6 linked regions of the Nothobranchius furzeri genome follow. Each later gene encodes a partner of the first gene's protein in a complex. Links are inferred from orthologs where the notes say so. Each region holds a gene or a part of one and is shown in the gene's direction. Other genes may lie near its edges.

What was found.
Region 2: smarcc1a (region 1) and phf10 share a complex: the UniProt entries of both Homo sapiens proteins name them as parts of the neural progenitors-specific chromatin remodeling complex. The link is inferred for Nothobranchius furzeri from reciprocal best matches to the Homo sapiens genes SMARCC1 and PHF10.
Region 3: smarcc1a (region 1) and pbrm1l share a complex: the UniProt entries of both Homo sapiens proteins name them as parts of the SWI/SNF-B (PBAF) chromatin remodeling complex. The link is inferred for Nothobranchius furzeri from reciprocal best matches to the Homo sapiens genes SMARCC1 and PBRM1.
Region 4: smarcc1a (region 1) and smarca2 share a complex: the UniProt entries of both Homo sapiens proteins name them as parts of the BAF complex. The link is inferred for Nothobranchius furzeri from reciprocal best matches to the Homo sapiens genes SMARCC1 and SMARCA2.
Region 5: smarcc1a (region 1) and smarcd2 share a complex: the UniProt entries of both Homo sapiens proteins name them as parts of the BAF complex. The link is inferred for Nothobranchius furzeri from reciprocal best matches to the Homo sapiens genes SMARCC1 and SMARCD2.
Region 6: smarcc1a (region 1) and smarcd1 share a complex: the UniProt entries of both Homo sapiens proteins name them as parts of the BAF complex. The link is inferred for Nothobranchius furzeri from reciprocal best matches to the Homo sapiens genes SMARCC1 and SMARCD1.

Annotation. Positions count from the first base shown.
Region 1 is NC_091745.1:65,024,658-65,027,961, forward strand, and holds the end of smarcc1a (SWI/SNF complex subunit SMARCC1), read left to right. Parts: coding exon 1-49; intron 50-194; coding exon 195-370; intron 371-492; coding exon 493-627; intron 628-1,636; coding exon 1,637-2,021; intron 2,022-2,248; coding exon 2,249-2,374; intron 2,375-2,488; coding exon 2,489-2,580; 3' UTR 2,581-2,804; downstream 2,805-3,304. UniProt on the Homo sapiens protein: Involved in transcriptional activation and repression of select genes by chromatin remodeling (alteration of DNA-nucleosome topology).
Region 2 is NC_091749.1:34,751,047-34,755,142, reverse strand, and holds the start of phf10 (PHD finger protein 10), read left to right. Parts: upstream 1-1,296; 5' UTR 1,297-1,506; coding exon 1,507-1,578; intron 1,579-2,478; coding exon 2,479-2,585; intron 2,586-2,733; coding exon 2,734-2,864; intron 2,865-3,120; coding exon 3,121-3,204; intron 3,205-3,284; coding exon 3,285-3,409; intron 3,410-3,505; coding exon 3,506-3,655; intron 3,656-3,737; coding exon 3,738-3,847; intron 3,848-4,096. Other genes in the region: rab4a (ras-related protein Rab-4A), read right to left, coding at 95-175, 835-850. UniProt on the Homo sapiens protein: Involved in transcription activity regulation by chromatin remodeling. Belongs to the neural progenitors-specific chromatin remodeling complex (npBAF complex) and is required for the proliferation of neural progenitors.
Region 3 is NC_091743.1:66,062,332-66,065,831, reverse strand, and holds part of pbrm1l (polybromo 1, like), read left to right. Parts: intron 1-715; coding exon 716-927; intron 928-1,008; coding exon 1,009-1,200; intron 1,201-1,293; coding exon 1,294-1,451; intron 1,452-1,539; coding exon 1,540-1,782; intron 1,783-2,706; coding exon 2,707-2,852; intron 2,853-2,924; coding exon 2,925-3,082; intron 3,083-3,459; coding exon 3,460-3,500. UniProt on the Homo sapiens protein: Involved in transcriptional activation and repression of select genes by chromatin remodeling (alteration of DNA-nucleosome topology). Required for the stability of the SWI/SNF chromatin remodeling complex SWI/SNF-B (PBAF).
Region 4 is NC_091750.1:37,848,340-37,851,839, forward strand, and holds part of smarca2 (probable global transcription activator SNF2L2), read left to right. Parts: intron 1-485; coding exon 486-616; intron 617-2,014; coding exon 2,015-2,072; intron 2,073-2,216; coding exon 2,217-2,314; intron 2,315-2,434; coding exon 2,435-2,582; intron 2,583-3,500. UniProt on the Homo sapiens protein: ATPase involved in transcriptional activation and repression of select genes by chromatin remodeling (alteration of DNA-nucleosome topology).
Region 5 is NC_091756.1:35,532,469-35,535,968, forward strand, and holds the end of smarcd2 (SWI/SNF-related matrix-associated actin-dependent regulator of chromatin subfamily D member 2), read left to right. Parts: intron 1-456; coding exon 457-554; intron 555-761; coding exon 762-897; intron 898-978; coding exon 979-1,101; intron 1,102-1,974; coding exon 1,975-2,076; intron 2,077-2,160; coding exon 2,161-2,214; 3' UTR 2,215-3,217; downstream 3,218-3,500. UniProt on the Homo sapiens protein: Involved in transcriptional activation and repression of select genes by chromatin remodeling (alteration of DNA-nucleosome topology).
Region 6 is NC_091743.1:58,849,879-58,853,378, reverse strand, and holds part of smarcd1 (SWI/SNF-related matrix-associated actin-dependent regulator of chromatin subfamily D member 1), read left to right. Parts: intron 1-417; coding exon 418-540; intron 541-1,168; coding exon 1,169-1,285; intron 1,286-1,407; coding exon 1,408-1,509; intron 1,510-1,602; coding exon 1,603-1,764; intron 1,765-2,506; coding exon 2,507-2,604; intron 2,605-2,775; coding exon 2,776-2,911; intron 2,912-3,500. UniProt on the Homo sapiens protein: Involved in transcriptional activation and repression of select genes by chromatin remodeling (alteration of DNA-nucleosome topology).

The DNA of each region.
Region 1 (3,304 bases):
GAGCACGAAGAGGAGAGCGAAGGAGAGGAGTCTAAAACGGCTTCTGCAGGTAATGGTGATCTTTACAAAACAATCCCAGCTTGTGCTGGGATTTGTTTTTCTGTATTCATCTTTTAAAACTTCAGTTAAAATAGGAAAAAAAATATTTGATTGTCTTCTGACAGCAGGTTAAAAATGTTTCCTTCCCTATTCAGACAAGGAAAAAGAGGAACCAATGAAGACTTCTCCTGATCAGGAGAAGGAGAAGGAGGAAAGTGAGGCTATGGAGGAGGGAGAGGACAGGAGGAAAAAGCTGGAACATGACATCGGAGAGGGAAACATCGCTACGGCAGCGGCTGCTGCTCTTGCGTCCGCCGCCACCAAGGCCAAGGTGAGGAGATGTCACTTTTCATTCATCCGTGTTTGTTTTCCAGAGAAGTTTCTACTGAAAACAGTTCAGAGTTAAATTAGGGGCTACTGAGATGCTTATGTTCACGTTAATCTTCTGTTCAGCACCTGGCAGCAGTCGAGGAAAGAAAGATCAAGTCGCTGGTTGCTCTGCTGGTGGAGACCCAGATGAAGAAGCTGGAGATCAAGCTGAGGCACTTCGAGGAGCTGGAGACCATCATGGACCGCGAGAAGGAAGCTGTAAGTTGAGTCGGAGTTTGTTTTAGTAGCATCATCAGAGGTTTGTAGTTTTAAAACGTTCATGAATGAATGCAGTGCAGCTCAAACACTTCTTCTGCTTCACCTTTGCCAGACATCATCCGATTATCATCAGCCACATGAGTCAAGCTAATGAGAGATTAACTAGAATCGAAGCAGCTCTGCCTTTTTGTTTAGCTGCTTGACCACATCTGTGGGACGTTACTGTTATTATCGGAAAGCGTTAGTTAGTGTTAGAATATCCTGATCCTAGGAAAACCAAACCTTAGTTCCTTTAGGTTCTGTCTGTGGAAATGCCAAAAAGTGACCCGCCGTCTAACTTTCCCTTTCCTGCGACTGCTTCATTGATCAAGTGGCCGGTAAATATTTAGTCAGTAGCAGATGTTCCCTCGTGGTGGAGCTGCTTTCCATGAGCTCCAAGTCTTTATAAGAAACATGAATTCTTTATGAGGAAGCCAAAAGGGTTTTATCTACAGCTGAGCAGCTACTTAGTGATGCTGTTTAAACTGCTGCTCTGCCAGGGAAAAGCCTGATTTAGCTGGTGTGTGTGTCCCTGGAGATGCTAGTGAGAGTGTAAAACTGTGTTTTCTTGTGGCAGCATCTGGACTGAAGCCTAATTCAGCCCATTCACAGCTGCAAAAGCTGCTCGAAAAGAAACGTTTTAGGAATCTGTCACGGAGCAAGACGGAAACCAACATGGCTGCTGCTGTAAACGCTCAGGCTGAAAGGATCCACAAAGAAACACGGGACAAGTCTGAGCTTTCAGTTGCCTTTAGGTGTCCGCTTCATCAGCGTGGTGAAAATGGAGCAGAATGAATTTATTATACACACACACACACACGCAAACACACACACAGATTTTTTAAACCCCTGGTTCTTGAAGAATGCTGCTTTGACTGAGCTCTGGGTTATTTGGTTGTGGTCTTTGTAATGTTTCTGCTTCCTGGTCTTTAACTCCTCTTCATCCATTAATGTGTGTGTGTGTGTGCAGTTGGAACTTCAGAGGCAGCAGCTCCTCACAGAGAGACAGGCGTTCCACATGGAGCAGCTGAAGTACGCTGAGATGAAGGCCAGACAGCAGATGGAGCAGCAAGCTGCTGCCGCTGCCGCTCAGGCCCAAGGACAAGGACAGGTCCCTGGATCAGGACCCCACCCGGGCCCTCCTCCACCAGGTATGCACCACGGCGTACCCCCACCCCACCATGGAGGACCTCCCTCACACCATGGAGGACCCCCACCCCACCACAGCGGACCTCCTCCCCATCATGGAGGTCCACATCCGCACCACGGCGGTCCCCCACCAGGCGCTGCAATGCACCCAGGCTATCCGCCAATGGGCCACCACCCTATGGCCCCCCACCACCCAGGACAGACGGGTGAGACTAAGCAGAATAAAGTCTGTGGAGAAAAAAGTAGCTGTGAGATATTAGCATGTTTTTTTTTAAATAAAATTTTGTTTGTTCAAATAAATCTTGACTAAAACTTTGTAAATATTTGTCTTAAAGCAAAGCTACTGATAAATGCTTATTTAAAACATGAAGCAAATGTTTTACTTAATTTGAGCCGTCTCTTCATGATCTTTGTCTCTTAATCAAAACTGCAGGACCAGTAGAACCAGGTCAGCAGATGCCTGGACGTATGATGCCTGGACCCCCCTCCGCCGGCCCACCTCCAGGTGGGATGCCTCCCATGATGCCCCCGCGTCACTCTGGAGCCCCCAACGGCATGTGTGAGTACAGAGCCCCCCCACACACACACACACACACCAAAGTTCTGAACCTTTGAACACAAACCACCACTTTTGGTCTTCCTTCATCTAAATTTGGCCTCTCTGTCCCTGCAGACCCCGGTCCTCCTCCTGCACAGCCCGAGGTGCTGCCTCCAGCTCCAGTGGGTCCCGCAGCACAGCCAAGTGGACGAATCACTGATAACTAAGACCCACACAGACGCACAAAAGCACACATCTCTGAATTTCTGCCCCCCTTTTGACGACTCAGCATTTGCCCATTAAAGCTGCCATAAACGTCACCCTCCGTCACACACACACACTCACACTCAGGGTTTATCAGCAAAAGTGACCCAGACATCACAAACACACATGCAGACTTCCTCTCAGGGCGCAGCGGCGAGGTTCATCTAGTAATAAACACTGTTTCTGCTCTGTTGGGCAAACGGGAGGCTGTAGCCAGAAAACCAAACAAGGAGACAGAAATCATCAGAAAATATTGTTTCTCATTCTTTACAGTAACAATGCTGTTTTTTTGTTTGTTTTTTTTTTTTGTTGTGTAAATGACACTGTAGCCTTTTCTTGTATACCAAAAAAAGATAACCCCTTAAAATCTGGTCCTCCCTTTCCTCCAAATCAAACACTAGGGGGAGCTAGAGGGACCAGAGGCCCGGACAGACCCTCAGGGTTCTGTGTGCTGAGCCGAAACTCCCAGCCTGCCCTTGTTCTGATGGAGAATCTACCTCTCGCTCTTCTTTAAATGATACACTGTAGATCTGTGTGTGTGTGTGTGTGTATGTGAATGTGTGTGTTAGACAGAGGGAGGGTCGATGGCAGCGTGTGCCTATTTATTTATCAATACATTTCAATTTCGTTGATCCTATTGATCTTGAGAAATTCAACAAAAAGGCCAAAAAGGTCCCCAGTAGGTCA
Region 2 (4,096 bases), on another chromosome or scaffold:
CAATAAATGATCAACCTGAATAATTAGCCAGGCATTTAGATGATCAATCACAAAAAAAAAAATGTGAAAGAAGTGGAAATAATAGAGAACTTACATCTTTTCTCTATGAACTGGTGCAGCAGACAGGATTTTCCTGTCCCAGCATTCCCAATTACCAGGAATTTAAACAGGAAATCTACAAGGGGAACAATACAATCATTTAATAGACATAAGCTCAGCTTGACCCTCTTAATGTGGCATTCATAGGCACTAGCTCATCTTAATCCTAATCTTATTTGAATCAAGATTATTTTATAACTGAGATATAAACCAGCTGATATATATTACACATGAATACCTGATGGTTTGTTTATAAAGGCAGGGACACCTGCTTACTAACCACAGGTTTGTTCATTGTGTTTATGGTGTAAACAACTCATTTTGTATGCTGCAATAATATTTTACTGTGAGATTTAGAATGATCCAAATGTAAAATATACACATAAAGAGAGCATTAAATGGTTATTTATTTAAAAAGTTGAACAGTTCAGCCTCAAATTTATGCCAGCCCTGTCCTCCTCTTTACCCCTACCTGGTATCTAGCGGTTCTTCTGATTAGAATCCCAAAAGCTCCGTTACATTCAGTGTGAAAAGCTACATCAAACCCAGATGTATGATCTGAGTTGACTGACAGCTCTGCTTTAAGGCCAGAAGCCTTGAGTGGTGAAACGGTTAGCCTGTCGGCTATCTTTTTGCGATGAGAAAACGCCTTCTGGGCACACCTGCCTCGTCTTTACCACTGACTACCAGAAGGCACCCGTTAACTGTTGCCTCGGTTTAAAGCAGACTCCTTACCGTAAGACTCCGACATCGCCAATGTGGCGGTTTGATTCCAAAAGCAAAATGAAGGGAGGAATAAAAGTTGACAGATGCACAGCTAGCTCAGTAAAGGAATACACCAGTGATAATTTCCGTGCATTCCAGCTGATTTTTCCTTCCGACTTCCCGTAGGTTCTTCCTTTCAAAGTAAAAGTCCTTCCATGACCGACACTGTGATGCACTATATAGTTTTCGCCTCACTATGGAGCTGTTATTAAGTCTCCAGAAACGTTAAAATCATGATTTATTATAGATGTAAAAAATAATCACAAATAAGAAACATCCACATTGTAATAATTAGTGACCAGATATATTACTTATTATTGTTGTCAACTTGAAGGATTATACGTGCAAGTATTGACCAGTAGGCGGCAGTAGTGGTCACTGTGATTGGCTGACTGCAGCTAGACAACTATTTTAAAAATTGTTCTGCTGTGATAACCTTGCGTTAAAGGACCAAAACCGATTTCACATGATTTTAATACATGATCGGAATATTTGGTATTTAAAAGTAAAACGTTTTTCACCTCTATCACCGATCCAGGCCAGGAGAGTTCGCTTTCTAAACCGAAGGCTTTACCATAGAAGAAGAAACGCAGACTCAAGCTAGTGAACTAGCCTAGCTGCGGAACATTATTTTGTCGAAATATGGCTACTGTGCTCCCCATTAGACCACCTTGCGATAGTAATCCTGCCACCCCAGGAGCGCAATCTTTAAAGGTGACATTCACACTCCTTAAACTGCTTCATGCTTCAGCCTGTGTCCACGAATGACCCCGTTAGCCGTATTAGCGTCCATTCTTTGTTTTCATGTGTGCTCAGTTTATTCAATTTACCTTTCAGTTGTTGAAAAGTCGCCTGTGTAATTTGACTCGTATAAAAACGAAACGTAACCTCAAAATGCATTATTTGCTAATTTCTCTATTTTAAGTTCTACTTTTATTTTATATCTAATGAAACTTATACTTGTTTTTCCTAAAATAACACGTTTTGTACACGTGAGTTGTTTACAGGTAATGAATTATTATATCACTCATAAATCATGTTTTGCAGTGGCTCATTTAAAATAAAAAATGTATGAAGTAACCCTGAACTGGCAAACAACACACGAGTCTTTTAATCCTACCTTGTCAGGGAAATGGTCTTGTCTAATATGTACAGTAGTTTCTATAAACTTTCATTTTTTAGAAGTGATGCTCAAGCCAGAGGGTTTGAACCCTATTATTCTAGAGGTTAATGCCTCTAAAGTTGATGATGCAGCTGTATTGCATTTCAGGTTTTGGTTGCCCTCCATTCATTTTCACTGATTTGGGTACAGAGGAAACACTCAAGTCTTTTGTAAACAACTACTTTCATGGTCCTTTGTCAGGTTTTTCCAGGATAGATTTATATTTCTTAAGCACTGTGACTTTCAGGAATAGTTTACCTGATGTATACATCTCTTGAAACCTGACAATTTTTTAAATATTTAATCACCTCTTATTCTGCTGTTACATGACTGGGCAGAAAATGTGTAAAAAGCAGCAAAAGTTGAAATAAATTAGAACTTTTGATAAAGATAAAAACATTCAGCATGTTTTTTTTTTTTATTTTAATGAAGAGCTTTTTTCCTGTTTTTAGGAGGATGTAATAGAGGAAGTGTCCAATGATGGCAGCCAACCTAAGAGAAGGAGAATGGGTTCGGGGGACAGCTCTCGAAGTTGCGATACCTTCAATCAAGAGCTTGGGTAAGAGGGTGCTTTAATCTAGTTTTTACCGTCATGTTTTACACAATATTGTTAAATTTAAAACACACTTTACTTGTCAAACTTTCCCAGGTGTTGTACTCTAGAATGTGCAATTTTATTCCTAAAGTGGATTTTTTTTTTTGTTCAGGCCAACATATTTCCCAGCAGAAAACCTGACGGAGTACAAGTGGCCTGCTGATGAAACAGGAGAATATTACATGCTGCAGGAGCAGGTCAGCGAGTATCTGGGAGTGACGTCATTCAAGAGGAAGTATCCTGGTGAGGCTGAGAGGATCCTTGTGTTCAAGCTGGAATTCTGTTCCTTTTTTCAAAATGATTTTGTATGAATGCATTTGTTCAAGTAAAACTTCAAAATAATATTTGTGATAAGCTGTTGTAGAGGAGCTATTGTGCTTTTTGATTATATAAACAAGGGGCAAAGTGGCTCAGACTCCATGTTAGATCTATTTTTATGAAGCTGCACTCATTTTTTTTTATTATGATTTAGTTTATTTCTTATCTATGATTTTTTTAGACATGGAAAGGAGAGACTTGTCCCACAAGGAGAAGCTCTATCTTCGTGAGCAGAATGTCATCACGGAGACACAATGCACTCTGGGTAAGGAATAATATCTCTTAACTTTACATGCACACTTAGTCTCACTTCATTTTTTTATCCTGCTGCATTCATGTCTGCAGGCCTCACAGCTCTGCGGAGTGATGAAGTGATCGATCTAATGATAAAAGAGTATCCCACCAAACACTCAGAGTATTCAGTCATTCTGCAGGAAAGGGAGCGACAGAGAATAGCTAAAGAGTACTCTGTAAGTGAGGAATAAACAGGATGTCTGGTATGGTTGCTTTGATAAATATTTTTTAAAATGGTCTTAATTCTTGTATTGTTTTCTGTCATGTTTTAGCAAATGCAGCAGCAGAACCCTCAGAAGGTGGAGGCAAGTAAAGTTCCTGAGTACATAAAGGAGGCAGCGAAAAAAGCTGCAGAGTTCAACAGTAACTTCAACAGGGAGCGAATGGAGGAGCGGAGAGCGTACTTTGACCTCCAGACTCATGTAAAATACAACATCAAACATTCAACAATGACACAGCGCTAACCAGCTGTGTTTTAAGATTTATGTCTTATTTTGATCCTAGATTATTCAGGTGCCACAAGGCAGATTCAAGGTGTTGGCTCCGGAGCTGACCAGAACAGGACCTTATCCTGTTGCTCTCATTCCAGGACAGTTCCAAGATTATTACAAAAGGTACATTTCATACAAAACAACATTTTAAAAATACTTTGAATGTTCCTTTATTTTTTATTTTATTATATGTTCTTTGTGTGTTCTACTGTAATTTTACTGTAGATCCACTGCTTTGAAATAACGTGTTACAAATGTAACCCTTTGATCCTGTGCATTCCCCAACTGAGGGCTGGAAATGTTTTAGCATCACAATTTATGCATCAATAACTATCAAGCTGCACCTCTTAACAAAACTGCAGAGCCTGGGCT
Region 3 (3,500 bases), on another chromosome or scaffold:
AACAGATTTTACACAGGATAGATGGAATAGCTATAAACTGTAGTACCTTACCACAATCGGTCTTATTTTCACTAGAGCGAGTGAAGCTTGGCTCACACACAGGAAGATCCAAACTCAGCCTTTAGTGTCGTTTCGCTGATAGGATCCAGAAAACGGTTACCAAACTTTTATAGTGCATTAATTATAACAAAATCCTTTATTTGATGTATTCCAGCTTGTTTATCTACGTTTTTGGTCATAGGATCTAAAGGTAGACCGATAGAATCGGCTTTACATCGGCCTGATATATCAGGCACATCTTCGGGCAGCCCGATGCTGCTACAGCATTTAATTTAAATGCAGTTGTATGTTCACTAATAACATCTGGATAATAAATACTGACAGTGCACAAAGTTAAAGAGACGATATGTAGTTTTTATCATTAATCTCTGGAAATATACGTCAAAATGTTGGAAAATACTGGCAGCTTTGTTACACGTAACCATAAAAACTGGGTCTTAAATACACGGGAGCGGGTCTAAGTCTCTGAGCGACGCCAAATTAGACGCCAAAATAAGGTAGCGACCTCTATTAGGATCTGCAGGCAGACGTGGTGATTGCGTAAGGCTTCGACATAATCACATACTTTATGTATTTACCAGATCAGCTTGGAAAAACGTAACTCTTGCAAAGCGAGCCGGTGAAACGTGCCTCTGTGTCTTCTCTGGGCTCGCAGGACCGACTCCGAGGTGTTTGACGATGCTGTGGAGCTTCAGCAGTTTTTCATCAAGATCAGAGACGAGCTTTGTAAGAACGGAGAGATTTTGCTCTCCTCCGCGCTCAACTACACCGTCAAGCACCTGCACAGCGACGTGGATCAGGAGAAGAGGGAGAAAATTCCCCGAGAGGTCGAGGAGGATAAGAAGAATTTAGAGGAGGAGAAGAAAGGTTTGGAAAACATTTGGCACAAAACGTTGGGTGTGGAGAGTGTCGCACGTGTCGCTGAACTTTCACGTTCCTCACTTTTAGAAGAGAAGAAAGCAGAGGAGTTGCCAGAAGAGGAGTGGCAGCCTGAGTCTGAGTCTCAGCGTGTCTACGTGCAGGTCTGCAGCTTTGAAAACGTCACCTACCACGTAGGAGACTTCGTTTATGTGGAGCCGTCGGAGCCCAACCTGAAGCCTCACATTGTTTGTATCGAGCGTCTGTGGGAGAACGAAGCGGGTAACCGAGCCTTTACCTGTTAACTGTTTGTTTCTCTCTTATAAATCTGTGTCTTAAGCTTTGTATAAAATCACTTTTTGTGTGTGTCTGAAGGTGAGAAGTGGCTCTATGGCTGCTGGTTCTACAGGCCCAGTGAAACTTTTCACCTGGCCACTCGCAAGTTTCTGGAGAAGGAGGTGTTCAAGAGCGACTACTACAACAAAGTGTCCTTCAGTAAAGTTCTGGGCAGATGTGTTGTGGTTTTTGTGAAGGCAAGACTCTCCTTTAAACTCAACGCCCGACGTAAGTGACTTGTTTTCTGTAGACACGAGAATTCGAACCTCTTTCTGGTTTCTGTAGGATTATTTCAGAATGCAGCCTGAAGGTTTTAAAGCCGAGGACGTGTTCGTGTGCGAGTCACGCTACACGGCCAGAAATAAGATCTTCAAGAAGATCAAGATCTGGGCCATGCCTGAGAGTTCAGCGCAGATGGTTCCGCGAGAGGTTCCCCTTCCAGTGGTCCGTGTTGCTTCCATGTTTGCCAAACCGGACCTGGAAAAGTTGATGCTTTCATTCTCGGATGGTGGCAGTTTTGTGGACAAGGTGAGGTGACGTTACATAATAGTTGGTCTGTTTGATGTTTACAGAAATGGATTAATCGACCTTTAGTCTTTGTTTACTTGTATTTATCCAATAGGAATCAAGCTTAAGCTACTTTTACTTTCAATGAAGTCTTGAAGATAATAAAAAATATTTTTTTGTTTGTTGGATTATACCAGACGTCACAAATAAACTACTATCAGAGGTGCAGCAGGAGATGTTCTTCTGGAGCATCTTTAGCCATATTGTTTGAAATGCTCCACACACCAATGCCGACTAATAATCTAAACGTTTTGTCAAAAAATGAATCATTTTAATTTACCCTGAAGGGTACGGTCCTGGAAAATCCTCATCCAATCATTGTTCTTCATGATTTGATCGTGGTCTTTCCATCAAGCTGCTCCTCTGAGGTTTTCCCAGACTGTCTGTGGCGCTGAGCTGCTGTGATTTTACAGTTAAAAACAAACAAGATTGCTAAAAATTCCTTTTTTTTTTTTGCCCAACACTAACTTAGCTAGCGTACGTAGTCGTATATGGTTATGTAGGTGTGTTATGCTACGAATTAAGGCAGAAAATGGACCAACTGAACCTTATGCCTTCTTTTCTTCTGGAGGCGTGGCCGATGGGAGAAAGGGGGTTGGACCTCAGAGTTGTGTTAATTCAAAGAGCAGCTTGCACAAATAGCCAGAAAAGTATCTGGTGATGCACCTTAAACTCCACAAGTCCTGCAAAACTGGACTGCTAGACTAACAGTTGCAATCCTTAGAGGTTTATCGCTCAAGACAAATGGTGTCACTTTGCCATTACTACGGGGTATTAATTAAATGATCATCTGGTAGAATACAAGTCCTGACAGAGCTGAGTGGCACGTTTCGAGGGTATCTAAATGTAAACACTCCTCCTGTGTGGTGATGTGAATTCGTTTAGGAGAAGGAAGACGTCCCGATGGAGACGAGCGGGTCAGAACCTGGCTGCCAGCACTATGAACAGCTGCGCTTCAACAGCTCCTGGTTTAAAGTGGGCGACTTCGTTTACATCCGGTCCCACGGCCTGTCCAAACCTCGGGTTGCCAGGTGGGTTAGGAGGACTTAATAAAACGGTGCTGGTGCTGTTTTGGGTTTGATCGTCCTCTGGTTGCTCTGCAGGATGGAGAAGCTGTGGGTCCAGAATGGAGCCACCTTCTTCTTTGGACCCATTTTCATTCACCCTGAAGAAACGGAGCACGAACCCACAAAGATGTTCTACAAGAAAGAAGTGTTTCTGAGTCAGCTGGAGGAGACCTTGCCCCTGACCTGTGTCATAGGTATTACTAAATCGTTCTCTTTAATTAAATAATGACGTGTGTGTGTGTGTGTGTGTGTGTGTGTGTGTGTGTGTGTGTGTGTGTGTGTGTGTGTGTGTGTGTGTGTGTGTGTGTGTGTGTGTGTGTGTGTGTGTGTGTGTGTGTGTGTGTGTGTGTGTGTGTGTGTGTGTGTGTGTTGGGAACCTTTTGATGGCTTAGTATATTAAAACCAGCATTAAATGTTGCATAAGGTTAAGAAGTGGTCTGACATTTAAAGCTAATTAAAGGGAGTTTTCTCAGATGTGAAACGATCTCTGTAGGGTGCCGCTTCTCAGATTCAGTTAAAATGACAGATTTTATCCTTTCAACAGTTTAATTAAGCTCAATTCTGCCCACAGGCAAATGTGTGGTCTCCTCTTTTAAGGACTACCTGTCCTGC
Region 4 (3,500 bases), on another chromosome or scaffold:
CACAGTGGAGGGACTATTTTTCTGAACTGGTCAGGGAACGCCTTGGGATCTCCCCGGAGGAGCTGGCCCGAGTGGCTGGGGAGAGGGAAGTCGGGGCTTCTCTGCTTAGGCTGCTGCCCCCGCACCCCGACCCTGGATAAACAGATGAAAATGGATCAATTCTAATGAAGAGATGGATAAACACACAAGTGGTGCTGAGATTTTTAACCTTTAATGAAAGTTCAAACCAATCTGAGTTGTTTGGACACTTTATTCGACCTTTTCTTGTTGTCGTCAGCAGGAGTGACTCAATAAAGCAAAGTGACATCATCACATCGACGTTTTAAAACTCGGCCGTTTAACTGTTGCCTCCTTTTTTGTGTTTTCCCCATCTGCAGCTTCAGCGACGTTTAAAACTGAAATAAACCAGTTAAAGGCCGAGCTGTTGTAGGAGGAAGGCCTGTTCTGCTCTCAAAGCTGAAAGTGTGTTGTGTGTTTTTCTGCAGCTGATGGATGAAAGCAGCCAAATGAGTGAGCTGCCAGTCAAAGTCATTCAGACGGAGACGGGGAAAGTTCTGCAGGGGACGGATGCACCCAAATCCAGCCAGCTGGAGGCTTGGCTGGAGATGAATCCAGGGTGAGGAGACAGAACTGATGCTGTTTGTGTCTTGGATGTGTCGGTCAGCGAGTCTCCGGTTGTCCTGCTGGTCCAACTTCATTTAGGTTCAGCGGTTCGTGATCCACATCCTAACAGCCGGTTCTGCTGGACAACAAATCTAAAAGGCTAGGTTATCCAGAGTTATCTCTGTAGTTTATGTTTATTTATGTGGGTTTTATCCAAAGCGACTCACAATGTATAACCTATAGGGCATGTTGTGATCTGTGGGGGAAACCGGAGTACCCGTAGGAAACCCACGCATGCATGGGGAGAACATACAACTCCACGCAGAAAGACCACAGCCGGGTTCGAACCTGCACCCTTCTTGCTGCGAGGCAACAGTGCTAAGCACTGCGCCATCATGCAGCTCTAGTTATGCTGCTATAGGCTTAGACTGCTGGAGGATACACTGACCACTTTCCACACTCGACTACTTTCTACTACAATCTGCTCTTTAACTGTATTATTTTCTGCTATTTCAGCTGTTAACTTTTATTTTTTCTCTAAGTGTTTTTCTCCCCAGAAGAAGCTACAATGATGCTCTGCTGAGCTGTGGTGGCTTAACCACTTAAACATTCTCCCTCTCCTGATAATAACATTTTACTCTCTTTGACGTTGGATGTGCTACTACCAGTTTACCCGTTTAATTATAGATCCACTATAATAAATACAATAAAGTTTATCTCTCACCAAATAGATTATTTACTAACAAATCACAATGTAACCATATAAATGTTTGGTATATATGGTGTGTGTGTGTGTGTGTGCGCACGTGCATGCGCGCACGCTCTGTCTTCTCCATCCCCAGTGAGTCGTGGAGGATGGCTGCTTATACTGATCCAGGAGTCTCTGGAGGTTTCTTCCTGTTAAAAGGAGTTTTCCTCTCCACTGTCGCTGCATGCTTGCTTAGTATGAGGATTGCTGTAAAGACTCTGACACTAGTCAGTGACTCGATGCAACCTGCTGGGTTCCTTATGTAGGAAACTTGTTACCGGTTGGCTTAATGACCTGACCTGTGATGGATTTTTTACTATGTGAAGGTCCTCGAGACGACTCTTGTTGTGATTTGGCGCTTTAGAAATAAACTGAACTGAATAGAAGTTTTACTCCCAATAACATTCCCGAAATGCCGTTAAGCAGCCGATCTGGTACAGAGCTGGAATCTGTCCAAATGATGGTGATTACAGACGCAGAGGGGCGTCCCAGAAACAAAGACATCTCATGAGTTGGTCACCTGGCATGTTTTATTCTGGAAACCAGGAAGTTTTACCAGACTAAGTGGTGCAAATAATTATCTGTATTATGATCTTAAATAGTTTTGTAGTTCTGTGAGGTTTGGATTGTGGATAACTGGACCTTTATTTATTTTTTCAATAGTTATGAAGTCGCCCCGCGATCCGACAGCGAGGAGAGTGGCTCGGAGTTTGAGGAGGAGGTTGGTGACTTTCTAGTAACCTCTGCTCTTCTCACGTTACATCAGCTGTGTGTGAGAACATGATGCTCCACCAGGGGGCGCAGCCCGCCCGTGTGCTTGGGTTTTACCATGCTCTTTGATATTTGTTATCCTCTAACCTTTAAGGAAGAAGATGAGATGGCCAAGGCAGAAACGGAAGAGAAGAAGAAACGTGGTCCCAACGGAGAAGAAGGGAACGTGAAGGAGGCCAAAAATATCATCGAGTAATTAAGTTTCCTTTTATTATCAGACTATCTTACATCTGTTTAGAGAAACGTTTTCATTAAAAAGTTATTTTGGGGCTAAAATTATTCTAATTAAAATTTAAACTCTCAAACTTCCAGGACAGCCAAACAAGATGTGGATGATGAGTACAGCGTTCCCACCGGGCAGACCAGCTCCCAGTCCTACTACGGTGTGGCCCATGCTGTCATCGAGAGGGTGGAGAGGCAGTCCTCGCTCCTGATCAACGGCACCCTCAAACAGTATCAGGTACACGCGCGCACACGTATACAGACACACACACACACACACACACACACACACACACACACACACACACACACCTACACCTATGCTAAAGCTGTTGTCATGTTCGTGGTTCTGCTACAGTCAAGAATGGGGTTTCTATAGCAACAGGTCATCTTTACTCATTCTGCAAAGCAAACCTGGGTCAAAATGACAATCCTTCCATCTTAGATTACGGTGACATCATTTATAGAACTGCATCCAAAAACCTTCTTCATAAACTGGACGTCGTTTATCACTCAGCAACCCGTTTGGTCACTGGTGCCCCTTTCACTACTCGTCATTGTGATCTGTACCCACTCGTTAACTGGCCACCACTCCATTCCCGCAGGATATTACATCGGTATCAGTTCTTTTTTTCATTTTTTATTTTATTTTTTTAATATTTTCTTTTTATTGAAAGTTTTGTTAAGGTACAAAAGATACAACAACAATAACAATTAGGCACAGTGGAACCGTCGGGTCCGCCCTGTTCCGGGAGAGCCATCCTCCCTTCTCTTCAAAGTCCCATGACCTCTGGTTTTGTCCATACAGTAATCCCTCGCTACTTCGCGGTTCGTTCATCGCGGATTCGCTGCTTCGCGGATTTTTTCTTTGGAGCATTTTTCAGGGGGAATTCGCAGATTCGCGGTATTTTTCACTGATTCGCGGTATTTTTCTATGCGAAATATCAAGAAATTCTTGTTTTTTTTCATCAATTTCATCATAAAATGCACTTTTTGTAATAAAACTAAAAAAACCAAGTAAAAAAATTTTTTTTCTTGAGTTTTACCAACAAAAAGAGAATGTGATCATATGATAATTCAATATAGTACCGAATGTCAGACAGGTCAGCTGGATTCGGGAGTTGAGCTTGTAGGGAGCGAGGTTTCACAGACGCGG
Region 5 (3,500 bases), on another chromosome or scaffold:
TACCTGAGCTGGGGTAGGTACTCGGCTGGTAGAGCCGCTGAGCGGGCTTGTTTTTAACTCACGCTGATTGGTTGTATTCGCCAAATAACTGGCCTTTTCAAAAATGGGAAGAGTTGTTGGTGAAGATGAGTGGAAGTGAAAGAAAGCAAACAGCATTAATGCTGCTTTGAAATTGCAGTTTCTGAAGGTTCAACGCATATAATGCAGTGGAAATCCCCCACAACGCCATTATCCACACTGCTTTGTCAAAAACAGCTTCTTCTGGTCATTGAACGGCACTTTTTACTTCACACAGCTGCTCTCCCCGTCCCCTAAACTCCTAAAATGGAAACAGGACTCATGTAGTCCTGGTCTTAGCTTTAGAGGGCTGGATATGAACTCTGATGGATTAGTTATCAGTGTTTTTTAACATCACCTGTCTTAAGTGCTAATGCGGTTTAATAAAATTGTGTTCAGATCTTCAGCTGTCCACGCATGAGGTTCAGTGAGATCCCCATGAAGCTGGCGGGCCTGCTGCAGCATCCTGACCCTATTATTATCAACCACATCATCAGGTAGGGTCTCATCTTACAGCTTCAGACAATCTCTGCTTTCAGACACACAGTGTCACCACACTTGGTGAATAAGGTTCATAGCTGCTCCTACAGTTAATAAACACAGATGTACGTAGAACCTTAGAAACACTTTCTATTTGGTTCTGAGCTGAGATAAGGTATAAACCCGTCCTGTAGTCACCACCAACTCCTTTGTTCCCTGAGCAGCGTGGATCCCACAGACCAGAAGAAAACAGCCTGCTATGATATTGACGTGGAGGTGGACGACCCTCTGAAAGCTCAGATGAACAGTTTTCTGTCCTCCACCACCAACCAACAGGAAATCGCTACTCTTGAGATGAAGGTCGGGTCTAATCTGGATTCATACTAAAATGAAACGAGCCTGTAGAAACCTGAAACGTCTTCCTTTGTTGTTTATGTTCAGATTCATGAAACAATTGAGTACATCAACCAGCTCAAGACTGAGAGAGACTTCATGCTGAGCTTCAGCAATAATCCACAAGAGTTCATCAAAGACTGGCTGAAGTCTCAGAGCAGAGATCTGAAGGTAAAGAAATGTCTGCTGCAACTACCATGTTATCGTGACTCTTTTGTCTTATTTTAGTCCCTCATTTCAGGACAAACTAAATAAAATGAAATGAAGTTGAGTTAAATAGCAGAGACAGGGTAAAATGAAGTTCCTATGTTTTTTTTTATCTGATTAAATCAAGTGTTTAGATCTTGACTCGTTTAGATTTCCTTTACGGCTTAGACGGCAAAAATATTTTAGTTTTCTGAACATTCTCCTTAACCTGGAAGTCAGGTTTTATTGGGTTTGTTTTTTTACTCCTTCGCCATAAGAGTTCAAATCTGTCCCACTGGAATCTGCAGTGTTTACTCATCATTAAATGTTGCTTAAGGTGATATTCATTATGGGGATTACAGCATTCTTACGTTTGTTTACATTATATAATGTGACACAATAGCACAGAACTCATTCTAACATATTTAGCCAGTAAACGGATGCACCTTGTTGCCGGCATGTGCTCAGAGAGCTAATCAGGAAGCATTCTGCTGCAGGTGGTGGAGGGTTGATCTCCTAAAGCGAGCCGAAACACGTCTAAAGATAAATGTTCCAGCCAGCAGTTAGAAATGATCAGATCAGAAGGATCTACATGTCTGGGTTCCTGTCAACACAGATTTCACCCCACCTTGTTTTTTTTAAATTTGTTTAAGAAGTCAAAGCTGTCCTCCCTCACCTGACATGGTTCATGGTTCGTTCAGAAGCCACAGCTTTGTTCTGTGTTCCTGTAGCTTTACAAACCTCCTGAGCCTTAAGCAACATCTCAGCAAGATGCAGTTGTAGATAAGAAAATGAAAGGCATGTTTGGGGCATCTTGTTGGTGTTGTTGTGTTCACTGTTGCATTTCTGTTGAATCAGCTGATGACAGACGTGAGCGGAAACCCAGAGGAGGAGAGGAGGACCGAGTTCTACGAGGCGCCCTGGGTCCCAGAAGCAGTGGGCAGATACGTTTACTCCAAAGTAAGTGAAGACAGATCCCAGAGCTCAGAACAGCACATTTTAGTCATCTGTATCTGAACCAGAGGTACTCCTTCTCCGTTTCAGGTGCAGCAGAGAAGGCAGGAGCTGGAGCAAGTTTTGGGGATCCGACTGACCTAAAGGCCAGATTCCAGAGGAGTTTGCCTGCGTTTGCTTTTGTTTAACTGGAATAGAGACAGCCATGATCGCAGCTTAAGCCATACTTATTTACTAATGGGACCAAAGTGATGATTTATGTGTCCTTTTGTAACGTGTTTGCCTTGGATGGTTTTTCATTTGGAGCCTTTTCAAATCATTTTTACTTTTTTGTCTTTTTTATTCTTTTTTTTTTTTACTCGCGGTACAAAATGCTGAAAACTGTTTGAACACTGGTCCTGTAAAGGATTCTGCTTTCCCACGCTGATGTTTTGTGTGATTTTCTAAAAGTTGTAACATTTAAATGTTGACAGTGCCTGATGTCTAAAAAATATCCTTAATCAGTTTATCCCATATATATGTAGTTGTACTACATGCCTATTGAAATGTCCTTGAAGAGTGTTTGAATCTATATTTTATGTAAGTTTTAAGATAAACCCTTAAAACACTTTCAGGTCATATTTTTAATACATAAAAACATCAAATCAGGAAATACGTCATGCCTGTGGTGATTTATGAGAAGCTGTTTTTATACAGCCTTCTTTGTTCCTCTGATCTTTAGCAGCTCTTGTTTATATGTTGAAGGTTTACATGTTTTTTTTATTTACTTTTTTGTTTGAGGACCACAAAAATGAATTTTCACAGCCTTTGTAGAGGTTTGCTATTGATTATAAACAGGAATGCAGCTGTGGTGTCAGATAAAAAAATGGTGTGTGTATGGGGAAAAAGCTTTTTTACAAGCAGTCTTATGAAACATTCCGTGTATTTGTGCCAAAATGTGTTTTGTGAAGTTGATTAATTGAATTTGAGAAGTGTGTAGTACAAGTACTTTTGTACAGCTTCCGTGTTTTGCATGTTTTTGATTCAAAAGCTTTTTTAAAAATCTTTTTTTACATTTGAGGTGTTTTTCACAATAAATATACTTGCAAATGTTGGTTATTTTCTATATCTGAAACAGAAACCTACATTACATATACGTTATATTGCACTGAGCTATTGAGGTGTGTGCTTGGATCAGGGAGCTGTGCATGTTGAGGCTGGTCGCTGCGCTCAGATGCTTCACGAGGGCAGCAGTTCCAACAGGAATGTCTGGTTTTACTCAAACAACGCTCCTCAAATAAAGCCCGGGACTGATACAACCAACTGTCTTTAGGAAGCCGTGTCTCAGCTTGTCTGGTGACTCTTGTTTAATGCTTCAGACGTGGTATTGGCTTGTGTGGCAGAAAATCAAAAATAGTATTTTTAATTGTTCTATAATGTGTACTTCCTAA
Region 6 (3,500 bases), on another chromosome or scaffold:
CTTTTTCATACATTAACTTGACTTAAAAACCTCTTCAATCTTGGTCATCAAATAAGACGTTCATTAAACTTGTTTACATGTCAGATTGTATGGTGAGTTTTTATTTTTTTCACTGTGATCTGTATGCTAAATTAGTTTCGGTGTCATAGTTATGAGATGTTGCCTTTGCTTGTTTACTCGTTTATTGTTGCTGTGAACAAAACGATGTTTGTCTCGTCGTGAGGCCGTCGAGTCTCCCCAACAGACGTTTTAAGTGAACTCAATAGTAAACACTGAATTCTGCACAGTAAAACACACGTTTTTAATGAAGCTGCAACATCTTTGTTTGTTCTTAAAACAACTGTGTGTCACTGCTGATTGTGAGCTATAGTAGTTTATATTAGTGTAAAGATTTTTTGTTTTTATGCTTATTTTCAGCAAAAAAGAAAGCTTAGGATCTTTATATCCAACACCTTCAACCCTGCAAAGCCTGATGCTGAGGACGGAGAGGGAACCGTTGCATCATGGGAGCTGCGTGTTGAAGGGCGGCTCTTGGAAGATGTAAGCTGCACATTTTAGATTCTTATCATTTCTATTTTTTACTGTGAAACTGTTTTTATGTTATTTTTTAAATATGATCAGTCCCTCTGAGTGATGGCTGGATGTGAAAATAGACTGCTGGCCTTATTTCTTTCATTAGCCGCTGTTGGAAAATAGACCGGGAAACACTCTGGTCAGAATAAAACACTCAGATCAGCGTCACACTAATTTAGCATTCATGGACTCACCCTTCTTGGCTGTTGTTTATTTAGCATCCAGGAGAGAGCAGAGCACGTCTCAGGCTAACTATTAGCATTAGCAACTCCACAACAGAACATCTTCGGGTTACTCTTGTGTTATTTGTGGAGGTAAAACATCCAAGTTTTCTGAGCTAACAGTCAGTGGAAGAGTTGCGTTGCTATAAACCAATCAGAGGCGAGATGTCCAAATATCATGAATATTAACAAGTAAGCCTCCATATCCATATGTCATTTTCTGACCCTCAACTCCTCTGATTAACTTCTACTTCCTGAAACAGGATCACTGGGGCTTTTCTTTTTAACAGAGTGACTCACAAGGCAGTCATTTGGTTTATCTAGGACTAAGTTTCAAGCTGTGAAAGATTAAATGTGTGTTTGTTGTTTTGCAGACAGCCGTGTCCAAGTATGAAGCCACCAAACAAAAACGAAAGTTCTCATCTTTCTTCAAGTCTCTTGTGATCGAGTTGGACAAAGACCTTTATGGACCAGATAATCACCTTGTAGAAGTTAGAGGCTTTCTCGTCTATCCAAAAAAAAATTGTCATTTTCTAATCTGCTAATTTTAAGATGTATGTAATGATGTTGTTACATGAACCTGGTTTCTTTAAATGCTTTGTTTGTATTTCAGTGGCATAGAACTGCCACCACCCAGGAGACTGATGGTTTCCAGGTGAAGAGGCCTGGGGATGTGGGTGTTCGCTGCACCGTCCTTCTCATGCTTGATTACCAGGTAACACTCTGAGGGGTGAATGTTGTTTTTAAATTGTGTCTGAATTCATCAAGGAGCCTGATTGACTTGAGATATATTTCTTCATCATTTCAGCCCCCTCAGTTTAAACTGGACCCCCGACTGGCCCGCATGCTGGGGATCCACACCCAGACCAGGCCTGTCATCATTCAGGCCCTGTGGCAGTATGTCAAAACACACAAACTCCAAGACCCACACGAGCGCGAGTTTATCAACTGTGACAAATACCTGCAGCAGGTGAGTTGTGGCTTTGCTCACTCGAGAAATAAGATAAAACAATTAAATGTTTCTGTCATGAAACACAACAAACATGATATTTCTGAAGGTTTCAGCATAAACTAGCCTCAACAACCAGACCTGTCCTGTTTCTTTTCTGCTCCTGATATTCAACACTCTCTCTCTCTTTCTCTCCCCATCTCTCACTCTCTGTCTTGTGTGTGTGTGTGTGTGTGTGTGTGTGTGTGTGTGTGTGTGTGTGTGTGTGTGTGTGTGTGGTGTGTGTGTGTGGTGTGTGTGTGTGTGTGTGCGTGCGTGCGTGCGCGCGCGCGCGTGTGTGTGTGTGTCCCCAATCTCTTTGTCTCTCGCTCTGTCTCCCTCTCTGTGTCCTTGTACGGTGGCTCAATCTCTTCATGAATCTCTGTCTGGTTTCTCTGAGCTTCTGTTTTCTTTTCCCTGCCAAGAGCAACAGAAGATTGTTGAATTCATACAAAGTTTACTTGTGAACTAAGGATTGCTTTTATGAAACCTCAGATTGTTGATGCAGTTGCACTGTTGTGATCAGGGATGTACAAAAGGGAGAATAAAGCATTTAAACCAGTTTATAAACAAACTCAAGAAGCTACGTCCAGAGGAAATGGATATGTTCTGCGTGTTGATTTGCTGATTAGTTTTACACTTCTAAAAAAACACAGTCCATCGTGTTCAGTTTCAAAAGAGCAATTTATTCAAACTAAAACCACATCATTCTTTGATGTCACAGATTTTTGAGACCCAGCGGATGAAGTTTTCTGAAATCCCTCAGCGATTGCACGCACTGCTGATGCCTCCAGAACCAATCATCATTAACCACGTGATCAGGTAATTATTGCGCTGGTTTCGGGTAGAGTCAAGTGTCAGCACTGCCTCTAAATGACCCTTATATTTTATTTCTGCAGCTTTGACAATTAATCTTCAATACTTAAAATCGACTCTTAAGTACTTGAATAAATGTTAAATTCAAGCACACAACGATGCTTTTCATTTCACTAGCGTGGACCCCAATGACCAGAAAAAGACTGCTTGCTATGACATTGATGTGGAGGTGGATGACACCCTGAAAACACAGATGAACTCCTTCCTGCTCTCTACTGCTAGTCAGCAGGAAATAGCAGGATTGGATAACAAGGTGAGGACCTCGGCCACCAGCCTTTAGCTGTTCTGTTCTTTTTTGTAGATATTTGCTGGAACAGTTTTGTATCCACTGTCAGATGATGTTGTTTCTTGGAAGTTTGGTGGTATTTTATAAAACATGAGGTCCTACTTCAGTTAGGGCTGTAGCGAAGCCTCGACGAAGTCGACGGCTCGATTCTAAAAATTTGTCGACGTCAGATCCGGAAGTCGACGCACCGCGCCCACTTGTTGCATCCCCAGGAGTTTGTAAATAGAGGAGGAATCTGCCTGTTTTTCCTCTAGTTCGCCCTCTTCTCCGCCTTCACTAACATCTCCGCCAAATACCGAAGACCCGGAACAACGTCCGTCCACTACTAGATTATTTTCCTGTTTTGCCCCTTCGTCTCCCGGCAACGGACAACAACTTCCGGGGTCAGATGCGCTGCTTCGTGTCTACCGCAGATGTAGAAAATCACCGGGAGCGCTTCTCCCTTCATTAAGGAGCTTCTTTCAGACACGAGGAGAGCTGTTTTGGTGGTAGCAGTCTCTCCTCCATGCTGGTCTGTTTGCTGCCGGGTGTTTTTGGTTTATTTAAACTTGGTAAC